4 linked regions of the Saccharomyces cerevisiae S288C genome follow. The protein of the gene in region 4 binds, or shares a complex with, the protein of the main gene of each other region. Each region holds a gene or a part of one and is shown on either strand. Other genes may lie near its edges. A codon is read from its position in the direction of its gene.

Evidence for each region.
Region 1: the proteins of ATP3 (region 4) and INH1 are in contact, whole or in part, in a crystal structure (PDB 3ZIA), measured with the Saccharomyces cerevisiae proteins. Residues at the interface, in NP_009595.1 of Saccharomyces cerevisiae: Met41 (codon at 1,354), Arg42 (codon at 1,351), Lys44 (codon at 1,345), Ser45 (codon at 1,342), Asn48 (codon at 1,333), Ile49 (codon at 1,330); in NP_010100.1 of Saccharomyces cerevisiae: Ser23 (codon at 1,901), Ser26 (codon at 1,910), Thr27 (codon at 1,913), Arg31 (codon at 1,925), Asp37 (codon at 1,943), Phe39 (codon at 1,949).
Region 2: the proteins of ATP3 (region 4) and ATP16 are in contact, whole or in part, in a crystal structure (PDB 3FKS), measured with the Saccharomyces cerevisiae proteins. Residues at the interface, in NP_009595.1 of Saccharomyces cerevisiae: Ala70 (codon at 1,267), Ser73 (codon at 1,258), Ala74 (codon at 1,255), Lys76 (codon at 1,249), Met77 (codon at 1,246), Glu79 (codon at 1,240), Ala80 (codon at 1,237), Glu81 (codon at 1,234), Leu83 (codon at 1,228), Phe84 (codon at 1,225), Asn87 (codon at 1,216), Phe173 (codon at 958), Lys229 (codon at 790), Phe230 (codon at 787), Glu231 (codon at 784), Ile232 (codon at 781), Ala236 (codon at 769), Asn237 (codon at 766), Val238 (codon at 763), Asp241 (codon at 754), Leu242 (codon at 751), Tyr245 (codon at 742), Leu252 (codon at 721); in NP_010280.1 of Saccharomyces cerevisiae: Gln35 (codon at 1,706), Ala37 (codon at 1,712), Leu38 (codon at 1,715), Pro39 (codon at 1,718), His40 (codon at 1,721), Glu41 (codon at 1,724), Thr42 (codon at 1,727), Ser45 (codon at 1,736), Lys57 (codon at 1,772), Val68 (codon at 1,805), Pro69 (codon at 1,808), Thr70 (codon at 1,811), Val71 (codon at 1,814), Gln73 (codon at 1,820), Gly94 (codon at 1,883), Gly95 (codon at 1,886), Phe96 (codon at 1,889), Thr98 (codon at 1,895), Val99 (codon at 1,898), Gln100 (codon at 1,901), Pro101 (codon at 1,904), Asp102 (codon at 1,907), Gln104 (codon at 1,913), Cys106 (codon at 1,919), Thr108 (codon at 1,925), Ala109 (codon at 1,928), Ile110 (codon at 1,931).
Region 3: the proteins of ATP3 (region 4) and ATP15 are in contact, whole or in part, in a cryo-EM structure (PDB 8F29), measured with the Saccharomyces cerevisiae proteins. Residues at the interface, in NP_009595.1 of Saccharomyces cerevisiae: Lys148 (codon at 1,033), Leu152 (codon at 1,021), Pro156 (codon at 1,009), Asn157 (codon at 1,006), Ile159 (codon at 1,000), Lys160 (codon at 997), Leu161 (codon at 994), Ser162 (codon at 991), Ile163 (codon at 988), Asn164 (codon at 985), Gly165 (codon at 982), Ile166 (codon at 979), Lys168 (codon at 973), Thr172 (codon at 961), Phe173 (codon at 958), Gln174 (codon at 955), Glu175 (codon at 952), Ala177 (codon at 946), Leu178 (codon at 943), Ile179 (codon at 940), Asp181 (codon at 934), Lys182 (codon at 931), Leu184 (codon at 925), Ser185 (codon at 922), Val186 (codon at 919), Met187 (codon at 916), Asn237 (codon at 766), Arg240 (codon at 757), Asp241 (codon at 754), Glu244 (codon at 745); in NP_015052.1 of Saccharomyces cerevisiae: Trp4 (codon at 1,945), Arg5 (codon at 1,948), Ile9 (codon at 1,960), Ser10 (codon at 1,963), Tyr11 (codon at 1,966), Ala12 (codon at 1,969), Ala13 (codon at 1,972), Leu15 (codon at 1,978), Asn16 (codon at 1,981), Ala19 (codon at 1,990), Gln20 (codon at 1,993), Asn37 (codon at 2,044), Arg38 (codon at 2,047), Gln40 (codon at 2,053), Thr41 (codon at 2,056), Asp42 (codon at 2,059), Ala43 (codon at 2,062), Phe44 (codon at 2,065), Tyr45 (codon at 2,068), Thr46 (codon at 2,071), Gln47 (codon at 2,074), Tyr48 (codon at 2,077), Lys49 (codon at 2,080), Asn50 (codon at 2,083), Thr52 (codon at 2,089), Pro57 (codon at 2,104), Ile60 (codon at 2,113).

Annotation. Positions count from the first base shown.
Region 1 is NC_001136.10:133,345-135,943, forward strand, and holds INH1 (ATPase inhibitor), read left to right. Parts: upstream 1-1,834; coding exon 1,835-2,092; downstream 2,093-2,599. Other genes in the region: homocitrate synthase LYS20, read left to right, coding at 93-1,379; AIT1 (Ait1p), read left to right, coding at 2,552-2,599. UniProt on the Saccharomyces cerevisiae protein: Endogenous ATPase inhibitor, which inhibits specifically the reverse ATPase reaction of mitochondrial F(1)F(0)-type ATP synthase.
Region 2 is NC_001136.10:441,426-444,086, forward strand, and holds ATP16 (F1F0 ATP synthase subunit delta), read left to right. Parts: upstream 1-1,603; coding exon 1,604-2,086; downstream 2,087-2,661. Other genes in the region: MED2 (Med2p), read right to left, coding at 1-884. UniProt on the Saccharomyces cerevisiae protein: Mitochondrial membrane ATP synthase (F(1)F(0) ATP synthase or Complex V) produces ATP from ADP in the presence of a proton gradient across the membrane which is generated by electron transport complexes of the respiratory chain.
Region 3 is NC_001148.4:28,144-30,769, forward strand, and holds ATP15 (F1F0 ATP synthase subunit epsilon), read left to right. Parts: upstream 1-1,935; coding exon 1,936-2,124; downstream 2,125-2,626. Other genes in the region: PBI1 (Pbi1p), read right to left, coding at 1-21; ATP-binding cassette permease MDL2, read left to right, coding at 2,339-2,626. UniProt on the Saccharomyces cerevisiae protein: Mitochondrial membrane ATP synthase (F(1)F(0) ATP synthase or Complex V) produces ATP from ADP in the presence of a proton gradient across the membrane which is generated by electron transport complexes of the respiratory chain.
Region 4 is NC_001134.8:313,923-317,048, reverse strand, and holds ATP3 (F1F0 ATP synthase subunit gamma), read right to left. Parts: upstream 1,475-3,126; coding exon 539-1,474; downstream 1-538. Other genes in the region: FIG1 (Fig1p), read right to left, coding at 1-81; chitin synthase CHS2, read right to left, coding at 2,260-3,126. UniProt on the Saccharomyces cerevisiae protein: Mitochondrial membrane ATP synthase (F(1)F(0) ATP synthase or Complex V) produces ATP from ADP in the presence of a proton gradient across the membrane which is generated by electron transport complexes of the respiratory chain.

The sequences.
Region 1 (2,599 bases), on a different chromosome or scaffold from region 4:
ATAAAGTGTATTTGATATGTTCCCGTTTAGTTTATTCTTGTTTCTTATCTACATAACAAACAAAGGAAGGACCCTGTATTGTTTTCCTAAAGATGACTGCTGCTAAACCAAATCCATATGCTGCCAAACCGGGCGACTATCTTTCTAATGTAAATAATTTCCAGTTAATCGATTCGACGCTGAGAGAAGGTGAACAATTTGCCAACGCATTCTTCGATACTGAAAAAAAGATCGAAATTGCTAGAGCCTTGGACGATTTCGGTGTGGACTACATCGAGTTAACCTCACCAGTAGCATCTGAACAATCAAGAAAGGACTGTGAAGCTATATGTAAACTAGGTTTAAAGGCCAAGATCCTTACACACATTCGTTGTCATATGGATGACGCCAAAGTCGCCGTAGAGACTGGTGTCGACGGTGTCGATGTCGTTATCGGCACCTCCAAATTTTTAAGACAATATTCCCACGGTAAGGATATGAACTACATCGCCAAGAGTGCTGTTGAAGTCATTGAATTTGTCAAATCCAAAGGTATTGAAATCAGATTTTCCTCTGAAGATTCCTTCAGAAGTGATCTCGTTGATCTTTTGAACATTTATAAAACCGTTGACAAGATCGGTGTAAATAGAGTCGGTATTGCCGACACAGTTGGATGTGCCAACCCAAGACAAGTATATGAACTGATCAGAACTTTGAAGAGTGTTGTTTCATGTGACATCGAATGCCATTTCCACAACGATACTGGTTGTGCCATTGCAAACGCCTACACTGCTTTGGAAGGTGGTGCCAGATTGATTGACGTCAGTGTACTGGGTATTGGTGAAAGAAACGGTATCACTCCTCTAGGTGGGCTCATGGCAAGAATGATTGTTGCCGCACCAGACTATGTCAAGTCCAAATACAAGTTGCACAAGATCAGAGACATTGAAAACCTGGTCGCTGATGCTGTGGAAGTTAACATTCCATTCAACAACCCTATCACCGGGTTCTGTGCATTCACACATAAAGCAGGTATCCATGCCAAGGCCATTTTGGCTAACCCATCTACCTACGAAATCTTGGACCCTCACGATTTCGGTATGAAGAGGTATATCCACTTCGCCAACAGACTAACTGGCTGGAACGCCATCAAAGCCAGAGTCGACCAGTTGAACTTGAACTTGACGGATGACCAAATCAAGGAAGTTACTGCTAAGATTAAGAAGCTGGGTGATGTCAGATCGCTGAATATCGATGATGTTGACTCTATCATCAAGAACTTCCACGCAGAGGTCAGCACTCCTCAAGTACTATCTGCAAAAAAGAACAAGAAGAATGACAGCGATGTACCGGAACTGGCCACCATCCCCGCCGCCAAGCGGACTAAGCCATCCGCCTAACGTTCCCAAACCATTACATTATGTTCTTTCACTTATTACATACGATATATAGCATCTACATCTACATATCTAAATGATGTTTTTTCCCATCTACTTTGTCCGATACGCATTAAAAGAAGAAGATTTACTCTCCCGTGATGCCGGGCCAATCAGACGCGCGCATTCGCGGCAGAATAAGGGGAGGCTGCTGCGGGTACCAAATATCCAGATATTCACAATTATGCCAATCAACTGTCTAGTTGCTGACACCCATCGTTTTCCACTGCAACGAGGTTTTGGGGCTAGAAAAGGCGTTAACAATCGTTAGAGAAGGAGGGGTTCATAACTTGACTTGTTGTATCTTGTTTAAAACTTTCTTTGAATTTGTTCGTGGTTGAATTTGTTTTTGCTATCCCAAAGGAGTGCATTTTACACGCATTACTACAGCACACTTTTATACAGTTCCACAATAGAATATGTTACCACGTTCAGCATTAGCACGCTCATTGCAATTACAGCGCGGTGTGGCCGCAAGGTTCTACTCTGAAGGTTCTACCGGCACCCCAAGAGGGTCAGGCTCAGAGGATTCGTTTGTTAAAAGGGAAAGGGCCACGGAAGACTTCTTCGTTAGGCAGCGTGAGAAGGAGCAACTACGCCATTTGAAAGAACAACTGGAAAAACAACGAAAGAAGATTGATTCTTTGGAAAATAAAATTGACTCGATGACCAAATAATCATGCGTTTCCGCAGAAGCTTTTTTTTTTTTTTTTTTAGAATATTCTTACTCTTTTATAGTCAAACAGCAGAAAAACTATATAATAATACATCACACTGAGCTTTTGCATTTTCGATAACTATCATTCTAGTTTTCCTCTGGTTTGAATTTTCCTCTTGTCTGTCTGACTAATGTCACTCATTATTTCCACTTCGCGCAAAGTTCGTCCCAATGCGGAAAGGCATAGAAAGATAGGAACAGTGTGGAACATGGAAAAGTTCCAAATAACGTCAATAGTCCATACTTAAGATACGAAATTTCAAAATTCCTTCTTTTTTGTTTCAACAAGCTTAGCCTAACACCAAGAATATACTTAGCATCTCTTCGCATTCAAAATTTCTCTTCCATTCTTTGACGTTTTAAATCATACCTCGTATTCTTTACACAAAAGAAAGATACCTGTGAAATATATCTGAATATGGTCCGATTAAATCATGCAGCATCATATTTTATGCCTATTTTCTGC
Region 2 (2,661 bases), on a different chromosome or scaffold from region 4:
TTATCCTTGCCGTTCTTGGTGCTATTGATATTATTATTTATGTTGTTTTCAATAGAAGAAATATTTATGTCATTGTAGTTGTTACCTGAGTCATTATCGTCAAAGCCTTTGGTTTCGTCCACCGTGGCATTGAAGGCTGTGGAGTCAAAACCAGTACTGTCAAGGCCTGAAAACATCGAAATATCCATAGAGTTTAAATCGTTGAACATTACATCCGAGGGTTGGGCCTGCTGGCTTTGGATTCGAGTAGTGGTTAAGGGAGAAAATGCGGCACCGTTATTAGCAGCATTTGCGTTCTCAAGTTGTGTTTGACTGGATGATTGAAGAGATCCAAGTTCTTGATAATTCTCTTTGGAACCGTTGGCATCCGTTGTGTTCGCAGGTGCTGTTGTGGAGAAGTTCAAACCAAGGCCATTTTTTTCCTTTGAATTTTGCTGGAGTTGCTGCTGTTGGGAGGCTTCTTCGAGTTCTTGTCGCTTTTTTAATTCTTCTTGTTCTCTAACCTTCCTCATATTTTCTTGTTCAGCCCTCTTTTTTTCAGCTTCCTCTCTTTCTTTCTCCTTTTCTTTTCCGAGTGCAGTAAGAGTTTCTAAATATGAAGAACTCTGGCTTAGAGAAGTCTCTAAATCATCTAAAATTCCATGAAATAATTTAACCTTCTCTTTCAATAATTTTTGCTGAGATTGACTGAAACCATTGACGAGATAAGAATCTAGTTGTACATTTTTTAACTGTTGTTGCATCATCATTTCTGCTCCAACTTTTAGGATGTCATCGAAGCAAACAGTAAGCTTATTTTTATACGTCATTGTTCTGGTATTGCTCCCCCGTTCAGAGAAATTGGCTGTGTGAACAGACGAAACTGGGCTATTTTGTACTACCATTACTTTCAGACGGGCAGTTTATTTGGGAGGATCCGCCTTCAAATTTAAACTATCTTGAGACCAGAACATCTATTGAAATTTTGGTGAATATTCCAGCAACCCTCTCTATCCCGCTTTGAATTTCTTGATGTCATTGGAAACATTTAACTTTTCTCGTTACAAGCGGGTAATATCCTAATCATTGTAATTAAGACGTTGCTTCCCTGGGAAGAAAATAGTATAAACATAAGATATAATAGTTTTTAAAATGGTCAACGTATGCGATGCACAACTAAAAGGTACCAATTCATTAAATATTATAATATTTACTTCTTACTATTACACGAAAGACAAGTGTGAAATGCCTAGGAGATTGATGATTGACAAGCTCTGGCCTTGCAATAAAAATACTTATACACAACTTCAAATAATATAGAAAAGAAAGAAGACTATAAGCTAAAAATGTAGACAACCTCATTTAAATATTATTCTTAGGACTTGGTAATAATAGCTAATTTGTATATTATTCACCTCGGTCACCGCCTGTAATCACCTTTAACGAAAATAGATGCCCAGCCAATCAAAGCGCATTATGGAGTCGTCTAGGAAGGGGCCGTCCCATCATTGTAAAAGTTCATGTTAAATTAGATGGAGGATAACAATAAAGGTATCGTACACACACTGCTAAAAGAGCCTCAATCAATTTGTGAAGGTATAACTGTAGCCGTGAGGATAGGAAAATGTTACGTTCAATTATTGGAAAGAGTGCATCAAGATCATTGAATTTCGTCGCTAAGCGTTCATATGCAGAAGCTGCTGCCGCATCATCAGGTTTGAAGTTACAATTTGCTCTACCACACGAAACTTTATATAGTGGCTCCGAAGTTACTCAAGTGAACCTGCCTGCTAAGTCAGGACGTATTGGTGTATTGGCCAACCATGTTCCCACCGTTGAACAATTACTACCAGGTGTCGTTGAAGTTATGGAAGGCTCTAACTCTAAAAAATTCTTTATATCAGGTGGATTTGCAACAGTTCAACCAGACTCGCAGTTATGTGTAACTGCAATTGAAGCTTTTCCATTGGAATCCTTTTCACAAGAAAATATAAAAAATTTGTTGGCAGAAGCTAAGAAGAACGTTAGTTCATCTGATGCCAGGGAAGCCGCAGAAGCTGCAATTCAAGTAGAAGTTTTAGAAAACCTACAATCCGTATTGAAATAGCGTTTTTATGGTACGCATTCTAGAACTTGAGGGGAAGAAGTCTACGTTTTTAAGTGTTGACAAGCAATTCGCTTGAAAGCGCCAAAATTCATTGTTTGTTCTACTCGAATTTAAGTTTCCATTTTGGTTGATGTCTTAAGTATACAGAGAAACCGTTTATTAGCGTATATATACAGAAAATTTTATTATTTTATATTCAAAAACAAGAAAACAAAAGAGAAAACATTAACATGTAATTTTCATAACTAATAGTCCTAGAAAGTAATACTTTTTACAACTGTTTCTTTAAATCCTGTATGAAAGCCCTAGTTGCAGATCATCGTGTTATTCCAGTGAGTTTTCACTTCCCTAAGTCCTTCCTATTTATGTTTTAGTCCTTCTTGCACAGCAATTTTACTTCGGGCACTGTTGCCGTATATTCTAAAAAAATGAAAAAAACGTTCATGCCCCAGCGAAAACCAGTGTTTCCTCGTATTCGTGTCAGTAATTACACCAAAGTTTGTTCTACACTAAATCACGAATAAAGTGGGAGATTGAGTTCAACAAAATATCTGATTATAAAAGTATGAGAACAA
Region 3 (2,626 bases), on a different chromosome or scaffold from region 4:
TAGTGGCCTAAACGTAGTCATTATGATAAAGTGAGGATGTGTCTGTGTTGTGAGTTACAAATGCACTTCTTTGGACAGGTATAACAAGGATAACGTATACACCCTTTTATATATGACCGTCCCCCCATACAAATTTGTGCTCGTATGCCGAGTGTGATCTACTCATCGCTTCGTTAATGAATCGTTTAGCCAAGAATATAGTAAACGTGTAGCAGAGTCATACCCCTGATGGCTGCAGACGCAGGGAATACTCAGCCTCGAAACAGTTTTCAATTTATGTGCGTATGCATGGCTATAATCTTCTATTTCTGTCACCTTTCGTTTATTCTAAACGAATTTGCGACGTTCAACGAAAGCGCGTTGAAAAAATTAATCTCTGAAGTTAAACGGTCGGAAAACAGACAAAAAAGTTGTTGTTATTACTTGTAGAGGAAAGAGCTATTTCATAGCTCGTTTGGGAATGCAGGGGTGACGTCCTTCTTCGGGTGTGTTGTCCTAACTTTCCTTAAACACATTGGGCTATCATACCAGTGAAAAAGAAACATACAATGGTCAGATTCGCTTTATTTGGCTACGAGAATGTGGCGGCTAAGTTCCCTCAACAACTATTCCACCAATCTTGATGGCTTTTCTAAGGCTCTAAGTAGACGTTAAGGTGGCTAAGATTCTAAAATTTTGCCATTTTTCGAGGTTGTGCTTCGCCCTATCCCTTGGAAAACATTTCTAATCATCTTAAATTCTGTGATTGAGAACGTTTTAACGTTATCTTAAACGTTTCCATAGAAGAACGAACGTGAAGGTTTGTAGCTCGTTAAAAGGCGATCTTGAATGATGTGAAGAAGTGTAAAAGGCTTAGGAAAGTTGCTTGTTGACCCGGTGTCGTTCAATATACTCCTATTACCCAAATGGCAGTTTCATAGAGTGATATTATTTCGTTGCCTTGTGTAAGTTAGAAGTACTTCTTGTCGATTGTGAATTCGGATAGCCGCTAGAACGCCAATCATTGCGGAGGTTTGCCATCGCATGGATACCATAGCCATCTGCACATTCTAATATAGATTATATTACTTTAGACCATGTCATTTCATAATCGTTGGTTTAAGCGGTGTTGTTTCCACAGTTTGTATGAGAACTTTTGTCCAAAGTAAAGTATCAGTAACGTAATCTGAGCAAACCTACATTAAATCGTAACTCCGCGAGATTCTTTTGTTCAGGTGGATCAGCGGCGTGGTTTACTTCCGATTTGCTCATCGTGCGCATAGCAGCATTTATTCCTCTAATTCGCTCGATAATCAACCTTTCCGCACTACGACGGTGGCAATAGTTGGACCTTAAGATATGCCTATCTGAATACAATTCTTCAACTCACATCAGTGGGACACTAAATAAAGCATATGGTATGAAATACTATGAATTATTGAATTATTGGCAGACACAGCAGCGACAAGTCAGAGTGCTTACAAAAAAAAAAGAGTTGATCCGGCTAAAGAAAGTCTGATTTACGTATTTATCCAGGTTCAAACGGATTGCCAAAAATAGTCGATAACCTCGGAGTAAGCAAAGCAACAATATATTTGTTCTTCGAAAAGGTAAACTTCTTAACTTCTATAGAAGCATTGTACTAGTTCTCTCGAAGAAAAAAACTAAGAAAGCTATAGCTGTATCTTACCAAGCCATGAACTTGAGGAATTGGTAATCCTTATTAGGAAATACGCTAAACTAGGTAATAGCAGATGATTTACTAGCTTACTATCTCACACTAAGTCTGGCAACGCGCTTATTTTTTAATACTTTTATACGAACCAATGAAATTTGATCCTCCCCTTTTTCGTCTAGTTAAATGAAGAGATACAAGTAGGCCTTTCTATTGAGTACTTAGCAAGATATGTATTTCTAAGAAACATCAACAGTTTCAGCCCACAACCGATTCATAAAATGTCTGCCTGGAGGAAAGCTGGTATATCATATGCTGCATATTTGAATGTGGCCGCTCAGGCTATCCGTTCTTCATTGAAAACTGAATTACAAACCGCTAGTGTTCTTAACAGATCGCAAACAGATGCTTTTTATACCCAATATAAAAATGGCACTGCAGCTTCTGAACCCACTCCAATAACAAAATAGTTTAACGCTTCCTGGGAACTGCAGCTCTTTTTTTACTCGCTGATATACATTTTAAATATTCTAGCAACTGTGTATGAAAACTTACGTACTTTTATACGGGAAACTAATAATGACTACAATGATATTGAATACTGGCCGCTTCGAAGAGTGGTATAAAGTTTGTATCATTGCATTAAAAGAAAAAGAAATATATGTCCCATCATCGCCAATCGCAATGTTGAATGGTCGTTTACCACTTTTGCGGCTGGGCATATGCAGAAACATGCTGTCCCGTCCCCGACTGGCTAAACTGCCATCTATAAGGTTTCGGTCTTTGGTCACCCCTTCTTCATCGCAGCTCATTCCTCTCAGTCGGTTGTGTTTAAGGTCACCTGCAGTTGGAAAATCACTAATTTTACAAAGTTTTAGATGTAATTCATCCAAAACAGTTCCAGAAACTTCTCTGCCTTCAGCCTCTCCCATATCTAAAGGATCAGCAAGGTCGGCACATGCAAAGGAGCAA
Region 4 (3,126 bases):
TATTGAAATTAAATTAAAAGCTAATGCAAATATTCTGGGCATACGCTTGGTAAAAAACCAAATCATTGAGATTGCGACCATTTTTTTTTTTTTTTTTTTGTTTGTTTGTTTGTTTGTTTACTATAATTTCTTCTACCAAAGACAAGCAAGAACCTGAGATAAAAAACATTTAACAGACATTTTACAAATATATACCAATGTCTTTGTTATTTCAACAGCACTATATATTGTTTTCATTTTCTTGGTTCGTTTCATTGCTACTTAGCCATATTTTTTTTAACTGACACATACATGAAACCATCATAATCTTAATGGGAAAAAATCCTAAAGCGAGAAGGACTTTCAAAAAAAAAAAGTTTTAAAAATGTTATAATTTTTGTATTTTACCTGAATATATAGTAGTGTTTAGTATTTATTATCTTTCCTTTTCTATTTAAGGTATTCTTTGGATATATACTTCGTCTCATCAAGTCAAAATTCGTTTCATGTTCTACAAAAACAACGTCAAATAAAGAGGCAATGCAGGGTGATTTTTTTATCATCCCAAAGAGGAAGCACCAGTAATAATATCAACCAGTTCATTAGTAATGACAGCTTGTCTTGTTCTGTTGTACAAGATAGAGTAACGATTGATCATATCACCGGCATTCTTGGAAGCGTTATCCATAGCGTTTCTTCTGGCGGAAATTTCAGCAGCATAACCTTGAGCCATTGCTGTCAACATTTGGTTAGCCAAAGTATATTCAAACAAATCTCTTGGAACGTTTGCGTCCGTGTCGATCTCAAATTTGCCGAATGATGGGGATTGTTCAATGGTCTTGGCGTTAAAGATCGGTTTTTCAGATGGTTCAAAAGATAGGGAAGACACTGGGTCATTGTAGAAAATGGAAATCTTTGGGTAAGTGCCGGCCTTCATGACACTCAATAACTTATCGGCAATCAAAGCAGATTCTTGGAAAGTTGGGGCATCTTTACCAATTCCATTAATAGACAATTTAATGTTGTTAGGATGGGTTCTCAATAGCTGCATTTTAATTTTATCACCAATAGTGACTATATCGGCGTTTGGTTGATCATTCAAATGTCTTCTCACAGCTTTAGCCAATTGAGAGTGGATAGAACCACACAACCCCTTATCAGAGGTGATAGCAACAATCAACTCTTTAGGAGCACCTGTTTCAGTAGCCTCAACATCCAAATTTTTGGTTTCGGCGTTCTTGTAAAACAACTGCTCTGCTTCATCCATCTTCTTTGCGGAAATTTTAGCCTTTTCAGCTTTACTCAATCTTGTAGATGCAACAATCTTCATAGTTTTTGTGATCTTCTCAATATTTTTGATAGATTTCAAACGCATTTCCACTTCTTTCAAAGTAGCATAAGTTCTCACTGGGTTAGTCTTATAAAGAATACCCACTTGCGCTTGGTGGCACATTACGGAGCGTGTTGCATTGTTTGATACAATTCTTGACAACATGACTACTAAATAAAATAATGTTTACTGCTCGTCTTCAATTGTTTCCACCTGAAATTAACCAAAACGGTTCAGTCTCAATAGTTTCTTATTTGTCTTTTTTAACTGAGTGATAATCATTTAAGCATCTCCCTTCCGGGCCTTCTTTAATCGTTATTGCGGTCCGGGTTCCTCGCGTAGTTACTCGCCGCTCATTGGTTCTCCATCACGTGATAAACATTTCTTCCAAATAAATGAGAACGTTCATTAAATATCGAATAATTCACTTATTATATCTCCATCATATACTTACTAGTTCTAGCGACAGCTCCTATTCATATATCTTCTTACTTTTTTTTTGTTTTATCGACAATTGCTCTACGTTTCGACGTCTAGAAAATGTACTAAAACAGTGCGCTCTCTACCCATAAGGATGAAGAATACGTAATAACAAGAGTTTATTCTCCTTAGTATGTATTTGATAGCACACTCAGAAAGATGAGTTACTACTTGGAAAATCTCAAAAGCTCTTGATGCCCAGCTCATACATAAAAAAACGCCGGAGAACTTTAGCGTCACCAGTTACTGCGACACGGCTTTTAGAGAGGAAAGTAAAGGTCTATGAGTAAAAAGATAGATTATGTTATGCTACATTATATTTGGTATTGAAACATGTATATTATATATAAAAAGTCTAAGAGAGAAATGTCAAAATATCCTAGAAGGTAATGGTTGTCATAACCTGTACATTCTAAAACAGAATGAGAAAAAAGAGGGAATGACGAGAAATTAGCTGAAAAATACTGGCATTAGCCCTTTTTGTGGAAAACATTTGGTAAGTCTAATTTAGAGACTTCCCATGAGCCGCTACCTTCAACTTTATTTCTGTAACTCACTATTATACGCAAGTATTTCATGAACAAAAAGGCCATGGAACCAACCACCCTAAAGGCAGCTAAAGCGGCCACAGACCATAAAATGAATATCAAATAACCATTGTCAGTATCTTGTGGTGTAAAGACTTGAATTATAGACATGATCAGTATTAGATTTGATAGCATCCAAATCATCACAATTCTGGTTCTTATATCTCTATAATAATCATTCTTGGATTGTTTTTCATTGCCGCTTGATTCTTCAAATTCTGGTTCTTTCAAACGACTTTTTATTTCCAAAAACTTCTTATCAACTTCCTGAGGCCAATCTGTTTCCACAATCTGTTTCCCATCTGGACCTTGAACGACAATGGCCTTGGACAATTGCTTGGACTCCTGTGTGGAACCTTTAGTACCCCAGGAAACGTCGTGTGTATTACAGAAGGCAAAAATCTGTAAAGTACACGTAAAGGCGGGAAGTGTCAAAAAGTATTGTATGGATGATGTAAACATGTGCCAAGGATCTAGGTACATCAGTGATGAGAAAAAGTATAGGCCATAGGTGGAGAGCAATGAGATAACGATGTCGACAAATATTTTGTGGGATTCCGTTCCAGAAGCTAACGACTTGAAAGCAAAAACAAACCCACAAATTAGAGAATATGTGGCACATATAGACAGTATAACCATGGAGGTAATGAATAAATGTTTCGCGCCCTGGGGTCTATTACCCATGGAAATAATGAATAAACTTGCCAAGTCACAAAAGATCAGGTATTTAAAAAAAATGAATAAGGCCTC